Drosophila melanogaster: one gene and its partner. The protein of the gene in region 2 purifies or fractionates together with the protein of the main gene of each other region. This does not show direct contact. Each region holds a gene or a part of one and is shown on either strand. Other genes may lie near its edges. The genes, in order: IntS1 and IntS6.

Region 1 (3,920 bases), on a different chromosome or scaffold from region 2:
CACTGATCGCAGCGCGAATACTGCTCCGGACTGTCCAGCAGTAGCAGCTTGTGCAGCGCCTGGTGGTACTCCGCAGCCGGAATCTTGAAGAGCGTGGGTACTGTTTCGTACATCCAGGACACTGTGTCCAACTGAATCTGTGACATCTGATTGTACAGCTTGAGCAGAGCATGGTTGTTTTTGGTGTCCCGATTGGTTTTCAGGGACAAACTGGCTTCCCTAGCTTGTGGCGTGGCCGACAGAAACATGCAGAGACACACAATGTCCACCATGGAGTTGAAAATTCGCTCCTTAAACTCGAACATTTCGATTTGAGGAGTCAGATCCTCCCGCTCACTGAGAAACGTCTTGCAAAACTTGACCAGGTTCACATCGAAGCGCAGCATCCGCACAAGCTCCCGTAAGAAAACGCGCAGGGTGCGCAGGCAATCGTCCCGCTGAAGCAAGAATTCCTGGTAAATCTCAGCCAGAGTGGCAGCTGATTGATCAGCAGATGTTTGAAACATTGTGGCTGGAAAAGTTTCAAATTAAGAATTATGATTTTAATTTAAGAAAAAATTTGTTTCTCTTACCCAGCATCCCCATATTGTTTGGATTCCTGGTGTTGGATAGCTCATTTTGCACGACCAGTTTCATTACGGTACTCAAGATTTCCGGCTGCAGAAAAATCATCTCCTTCAAGCAGGACATGTAGTGGTTTATTAGGGGCTTCGTCTTGAGCCGCATCTTCACCAGCACCAAGAGCACTTCGTTGTCCTGTGTGTTGCGTCCCTTGATGTTGAAGCAGATGTACGAGAGCAATTGCTGGGCGAACTTGACCAGTTTTCCGTTGTGGATCCACAGCTCCAGGCGGGAAATGCTCAGACATCGTACCTCTGCAATGCCAGAAGTGGTGCACAGGAACTTTAGGAAGTTTCTGGTGTAGTTATCCTGCTGCTGTCGCTTGTTGAGCTGATCGCGAATGGCATCGCTGACATGCTTCTGCACCACAGCATCGCTGAATCTTGATTTAGTGGTGCACATAGCGTCGGGAATTGGTTCCGATTCGGTATTTAAGGGACTTGCATCCAAGCTCTGTGTGGAATTGTCCCCGGAATCGTCGTCCACAGTCATGCTGTCTCTGTGTGCTTGACCAGAAGGCAGGGACGAGCTCACATCCCAGCGGAGGAGACTGATGTGGGGCGTGCGGGTTTTAAAGGCTGCGCATATGTTCTTCACGAGCGGGGCACACAGTTCATTGTCCGCCCAGTAGCGCTCGTTAACCGCATCGTCTATGTAAATGCGGAGCAGCACCTCCGGCCACTGGGAAATCTCCATGAAGCCCCGGGTCAGCAGATTGGCGAACAGAATGTGCAGGTTGGTGTTGTACCTCATTTTCACGTTGGCCTCCCGCCGCAGGAAGGAAAGCAGCGCGCAGGCCACTATGTCTGTGCAGAATATACTCGGCTGTACCTTGGCCACGTAGATCAGGGCCAGAAGGGCAATGTTGTCCACCTTGGAGCGCGAGGAGCTCGTCGTTGTCTGCTTTATAACGCCGCATACAAGCCGGCCCACAGTTTCGCTGTCGTTCTGCTCCAAAGCCGCGTATATGGTCTCGACCACGGTATCCAGATCGCAGTCAACGGCGAATTGCTCCCACGTCTCGCACTGACTACTACCGGAGGACATGTCCGGGGCGCCCGCGTCCTTCAGGTTGCCGCGGAACCGCTTGCTCGAGCTGGCCAGTGCGGTGGAGGCTTCACGCTTGCGGTCCGACGACGACATGCCCTTAATGGGCAGGATCTTCGACTTGGAGTCATCGCGTACGCTCTTGCCGAGCGCAAAGAGTTCTCCGCCCAGCGGAACCTTCTTCTGCGATCGGTTGGAGCCGCTTCCTTTCCCGCGATCCATTTTTCTCTGTTCGTGTGTGAAGGTTTTTTCTGTCCATAAAATGGATAATTCAAGCGCGGTGCATTTTATTTTGCTTTGCGATTTGCAGCCGTGCAACAGTTGCAGTGTGACCAGAGTGCAGGCGCTAGGGCTCAATGGCTAACGCATGCAGAAGTCTGTGCAACTGCTCTGATTCGGAACGATGGAAGCTTTGAAACAGGCTTTAATATAAATATTGAACTGTTTTCATATTTTAATTTTTATTTTTTGACAAGTGTGTAACCTAACACCCTTAGGCGCACATTTGCATACATCATTTTTCAGATGGCCCACTCTCATGTGCAGATTGTTCTTAAGAACCCCTCAACGCGGTCACACTAAAATTGTTTACAAAATTGCAAGGAAAATAATAATAATTGTAAATTAAAATCAGCGCACCAGCATGTTTCTGTCCATCGCCCCGCCCCTAATGGACTTCGAGGACGAGCTGCTCTGGATAAACCAGTCGAACAGCGACAAGGTGGAGATCATCTACGACAAGTCCAACTACATTACCCCCAACATAAAGCACCTCATCGAGCAGGCTTTTCTCCAGCCACTCAGCCTCCAGAACCAGCACATCCTCTTCGACGACCTGCTGAAGCAGAACACGGACATTGCGCGCCAATATGGACTGACCCCGGACAAGGTAAGAACCGAAAACATTGCTAGATATATGTCTTATCCATTGCTTCCATCTCAGCTACCTCTGCTCGTGGAAAGCAATCCTCTCATCTCCATTGAGATCTTGCTAAGACTGATGACGACCTCCGACATAACTGAATACTTCAACGTGTTGGTCAACATGGACATAACACTTCACTCCATGGAGGTGGTCAACCGGTAGGAATCCAAACATCGAGTATTGAAGGCTTCTTTAACATGCTCGAGCTCTCATTCCAGACTAACCACCTCCGGACCTTTGCCCACTGAGTTTATTCACCTATACATCAGCAATTGCATCTCGACTTGCGAAACAGTCAAGGACAAGTACATGCAGTCTCGCCTGGTGCGACTCGTTTGCGTATTTCTGCAGTCCTTGATTAGGAACAAGATTGTGAACGTTAGGGTATGCGCTACTACCATTTCCTCGACTGTGCTTAGTGACTATTCTATTGTTATTTTCCAGGAACTATTCATTGAAATCGAAGCCTTCTGCGTGGGTTTCAGCAAAATCAAGGAGGCTGCTACCCTGTACCGGCTTATCAAACACTTGGAAACTGGGGAAAGCGCTCTGTCGTCCAACTCCCTAGCTAAGTAGTGGTAGTGTTTAGCAGATTTTAAGTTTTAAAGTCTAGTTCATAATAAATCGATTAAATACGACAACTCCAGCTGTACATGTAAAACAAATTCGCATTTAATAACTTAAGTATCTAATGTAGAGTTGTGTGTTTTATGAGTGAGTGTTGGCTGCCTCGTTGGTGTGAAAGTAAAGTGGCTCGGCCGAGGGCTTGGGGAAACGGCTCAGGTAGCGTTCCAGTCTTAAGAATTTAATCGAAATCAGGCGCTTGTCGAACCACCAGCCGTTGATCTCTTTGTGAATCGTGCCGGCGTCCTCCTCGCTGGCGCAGCGGATGTACACGCAGCAGGACTGCACGTCCAGCTGGACATCGCAGATCTTGCAGCGCGTGCCGACCTTCTCGATGATCGACTCCACGATGGACTGCTTCAGATTGGCCTGATCCACCTCTGAGGAGTCGAACATGTGCCTAATCTTCAGGCAGGGAGTCGGCGGGTTGGCAATCTTGTTCGAGTTATCGAAGGCGGGACTCTGCCACTTCTTAACAAGCCCCACATCCTTTTTGTCAACGTTCCTGTTCCACGCAATTGTGCGCATTGCCTTCCCGTCACGATTCACCATTCCGAACAGCACACGGCTATCGTTTTTCTCCAGCTGCTTGAGGGCCTTGTTCCAAGAAGACAAGAGCTTTGAGCGCTTCTTGGCCGGCAGAAACTTCTCCTGCAGCTGGTTAATAACTACCTCGGGACTCTCGGACTGGGAGCTCAAGTAA
Region 2 (3,920 bases):
ATCAGTTGCTGCCGATCGGGTCCGGTGCCGATGATCTTGACATAAACCTGCGACTGGTCGACGATGTGCGGATTCTCCAGATGCTGGGCCACCGGAATGGCAAGCTCGGCGATTAGCGGCTTGAGGGGAGCTAGTGTGCCGCTGGTCAGGATTACGCTGCGCACTTGGGTGTTGAGCAGTTGCTCCATTCCGAAGCCAGGATTGAAGCACCAGAAGTTAATGATTTTTGCGACCTTGCTTAAGCCAGTCGCTGCTGCAATCGTTCCCTTGCCAAGCCAACCGCCCTGCTGTTTAGCACCCTGCTGCTTACCGTGTCCCTGCTTGGACTCCTCCACCAGGACATGCACTTTGAAGCTTGCGTACACCTTGCTCATCACATCCTCCTTGTTGGCAAACACAATGGTCAGTAGATCGCTAAGCAACGTGAAGGTGCCGCCCTTGCGGATGCTCATCTGCTGGGAGGCCACTAGGAGGTATTGCACCAGTTTGTCCAGCAGGGATACTATCGTTGCAACGTTGCCGTAGGTGAACTACAATAAAGGAAGTTACATTTTTAAATAGGCATTCTTTTAAAAACATTTCCGATAAGATTTAGTGCATCTTACATTCGCCTTGCCAAGCAGTTCGTACATCATGGAGGCGGGAAAGGTAGTTCCATCGACGGCGTTGTCCACAACGATGGCATCGATGGCCTTTTCGAGCTCGAGCAGCATCTCCTTGAGCAGTGTAAGGTCGTCCAGTGTGAAGTCCTTTGGCTCATCTCCAGCCATATCCTGCGACTCGCCGCTCGCAAAGACTTGCATGATATGCGTGACGTCCTCGATGGCCATGGCCACATCAGAGGACTTAATCTGCACCGAAGCGGACTCCTCGCAGATCTTCTCGATGTTGTGGGCCTCATCCAGGATCACAATAGTGTTGCCCAGTTCGATTTTGTTGGCCTTGCGAGCCTTGGGATCGAGTAGATAATTGTAGGGCATGAAGGTGATATCCGCCTGGGGAACCAACTCCCGAGACGCGAAGTAGGGACAGATCTTGAGTCGCTGGCCCACCTTGACCAGGTCCTCAATGTCCATGATGGTGGGTCCGCGCAAATCGGGATGATCCTTTCGCGACTCAACGCGCATTTGAAATGAACAGGTCTTGGAGTGCACCCGTAGCTTGCACATGTTGGTCTTGTTGGAGTTGCCCTGCTCCCGCATGACCTCCGGATGAATGCATAGCTGATCGCGGGAGCCCAGAACCACGGATCTCATGTTAGCGTACGCTGTCCTCTTGAGTTCCCGCATCGCCTGCGTCAATTGGGAGTGGGTGCGCGAGGCGTAGATGACCTTGGGCACGCCCCAGTTATTCGCACGACCCATGGTCTTGGCCAGCTCGGACAGGTCTCCCCCAGGTGCTCCGCCTCCAAGACCCGAAAAATCTGCCTTCTCCATCTTAACCATCTGCTTTTGGTGCTCCGATTGCCTGGTGCGGATCCAGGCCAAGGATGAGCACAGCAAGCTTAGGGTCTTGCCCGTGCCGGTTGGCGATTCCAGGACTCCATTCGTGCCATCGCGGAGACAATGGATCACCTTCTCCATGTACGCCCGTTGAACCGGGTACGGCTCGAACGGAAAGTGCACCGGAATGCCGGCGATCAGGCTCTCCGGCATTATTCTTAATAATACTATTTATTTACTTGTTTACGCGCCAAATCGGAGTGAACATGTGTTCGTTGGTCGATAACAATAAATGTCTGTGTAGGTGGTCAGTTATCGCTATCGATAGAGTACAGTGGACCCTGATTAAGTAATTTTATAGCGTTATCTTGAACTCCGAGTCAAATGTTTACAACTTGCATGTCAAACCCTGCGTAGTTTATTTTAAACGTAATAGTAGTACTAATCACCACCCAAAGTGCTGCAATCGTGTTTATGGTACCTTATGGATAATAGTAACTGAAACTTATAAACTTATTAGCATTGGAGGGAATACTGTAGTTGTGATTCTGTTTATTTGGATCAAAGATTAACGATATAACATTTTAAGTGAATGTTATGGATTATACCAAACTAATGAACTAATGGCATTCAAGATTAAATGTGCAGCATACATATAAATCCCCTAACAAGGTAAGTAAATATTTGACATCAATTATTACAAACTCAGTTAATTCAACCACAAATCCATTTATCGTGACCCCTTCGCTCGGCTTTTCCGAATCGCCGCGATACGGCCCCACTGATTTGGCGCTTCTCGGCCACACCAAAAAAACACAGAACGGCATCAAATCATTCGAACTTTGAGAACGGTAGTGTTGTGTTGTTATTGCTCGGCAGCAAAGTAAAATCCGAAGAGAAGCGAGTCGAACAAGAGAAGAAGAAGCGCAGGAGTGGACGACAGCAATGCAACAACAGTGACGAGGCGCCAGTGTGCAAAAGTATGTGTGCGAGTGCGTGTAAGCAACAACTCCCCGATACAAACCTACGAGCGAGAGGGGGACGGCGATAGCGACGGTCGTTCGGTCGGTCGGTCCGACCGCTAGTCGCGTCTGTCGGTCGTTCTCGCCTATGCACCTCGGCGGCAGAGCGAAAGAGAGCGCACTCTGGCTGTGTGTGTGCGTGTGTGTTCTCGCTCTCTCGCGCGGTGGTGATAAATTTCTGTTGGCACAAAGTAAAAATATAACAGAATAAAAAATCGTGGCGCGGCATATAGAAGCTAATCGAAAATTATTGCGAGTATTGGGTGGAGGAGAAACATTCCTCTTCTTGTGAGTGCGTTTTTGTTTTAGTTATTCTTTTTTTTTTTTTTTTTGGCCGGAAACTCTCACTCGAAGATGCTGCCGGTGTAGTTGTGTATGAATGTTGTACCATTTTTTTTTTTTTTGAGATAGAAAATTTAGATCTAAAATATTAACCATGCGATCCTTAGAATCGCACTTTTAAAATATGTCCACACATTTTCAAATTCGAAAGCTTTGGCGGGCTGTCGATGGGCGGGCGCTTGCAACTCTGGCGATAACGATTACCGTGCCGATAACGCGGCTGCACTAATCAGCATTATCACATGCAAATTAAGGTCATCCAAATGAAAAATGACCACCAATCAAAGGCCCTGCACCCCTTTGCCGCCCCCCATTTATGCGAAACAACTAGAAAAAGTGTGTTTATTTCTTCACCGTTTTTCGAGCTCTGACAACCCTGCCGCTGCTGCATAAGTGAATTCCGACAAAGAGCCGTGTCATTTTGTTGGCCAAAACATCGCTGCGCCGAGATTAATTAGACGGAAAAAACTCGATTACTTGAAGTGCTCGGCCCTATATCGTTTTGGTTTAAACGTGTGTGTGAGCTTTGTGGATTGCCATCAAACACAATAGGCCGACTCGTCCCCCGCAGCCACCCGTACCATTCCAACACGTCGGAGCAGGGTTGCCAGATCAACGATAAATCACACACCGCTCGTTTAATACGAATTTTGTGTTGTTTTTACTTAAGACAAAATTTGTGAAACTTAATAGATATATTTTAATTTCCGCTCAACGTTATACCTGTCCGAAGTGGGGGTATCTGGCAACTACACCGAGCCGCGTGTGTGCGAATGTGTGTGTGCATGTCCATGTGCGCGAGTGTGCGTATGTGTTTGCGCTCTTATTCAAATAGAAATTGAATGTTTTGCACTCGAATTCAAGACAATTACGGCTCCTCCGGTAAAAACACATTTAGACTGGCTGACCTAATTTAAGGTGTAAGGATGTGGGTTACGCCTGCGATCGCCGAGTGATCGTTATCGTTATCCCGGCTTTGGTTAATCGCATTCCTCCTTCTCCTCCCCCTGGCATCGGCATCCACCACATCCCAACCCCCTTTCTCATTTTTCTCCTCCATCGCCCCTTCTTCGGCAGGCCATCTCCCTCGCTCTCCATCAGAGATGCGTAGGTC

Evidence for each region.
Region 1: the proteins of IntS6 (region 2) and IntS1 purify together in Drosophila melanogaster (affinity purification with mass spectrometry; 2 studies listed by BioGRID, with this or other methods). This does not show direct contact.

Annotation. Positions count from the first base shown.
Region 1 is NT_033778.4:24,036,032-24,039,951, reverse strand, and holds the start of IntS1 (integrator 1), read right to left. Parts: upstream 2,010-3,920; 5' UTR 1,891-2,009; coding exon 573-1,890; intron 512-572; coding exon 1-511. Other genes in the region: Not11 (CCR4-NOT transcription complex subunit 11), read left to right, coding at 2,312-2,557, 2,612-2,751, 2,812-3,169; MAN1, read right to left, coding at 3,302-3,920. UniProt on the Drosophila melanogaster protein: Component of the integrator complex, a multiprotein complex that terminates RNA polymerase II (Pol II) transcription in the promoter-proximal region of genes.
Region 2 is NC_004354.4:5,745,604-5,749,523, reverse strand, and holds the start of IntS6 (integrator 6), read left to right. Parts: upstream 1-2,269; 5' UTR 2,270-2,752; intron 2,753-3,148; exon of another isoform or gene 3,149-3,321; intron 3,322-3,920. Other genes in the region: Rtel1 (regulator of telomere elongation helicase 1), read right to left, coding at 1-530, 606-1,655. UniProt on the Drosophila melanogaster protein: Component of the integrator complex, a multiprotein complex that terminates RNA polymerase II (Pol II) transcription in the promoter-proximal region of genes.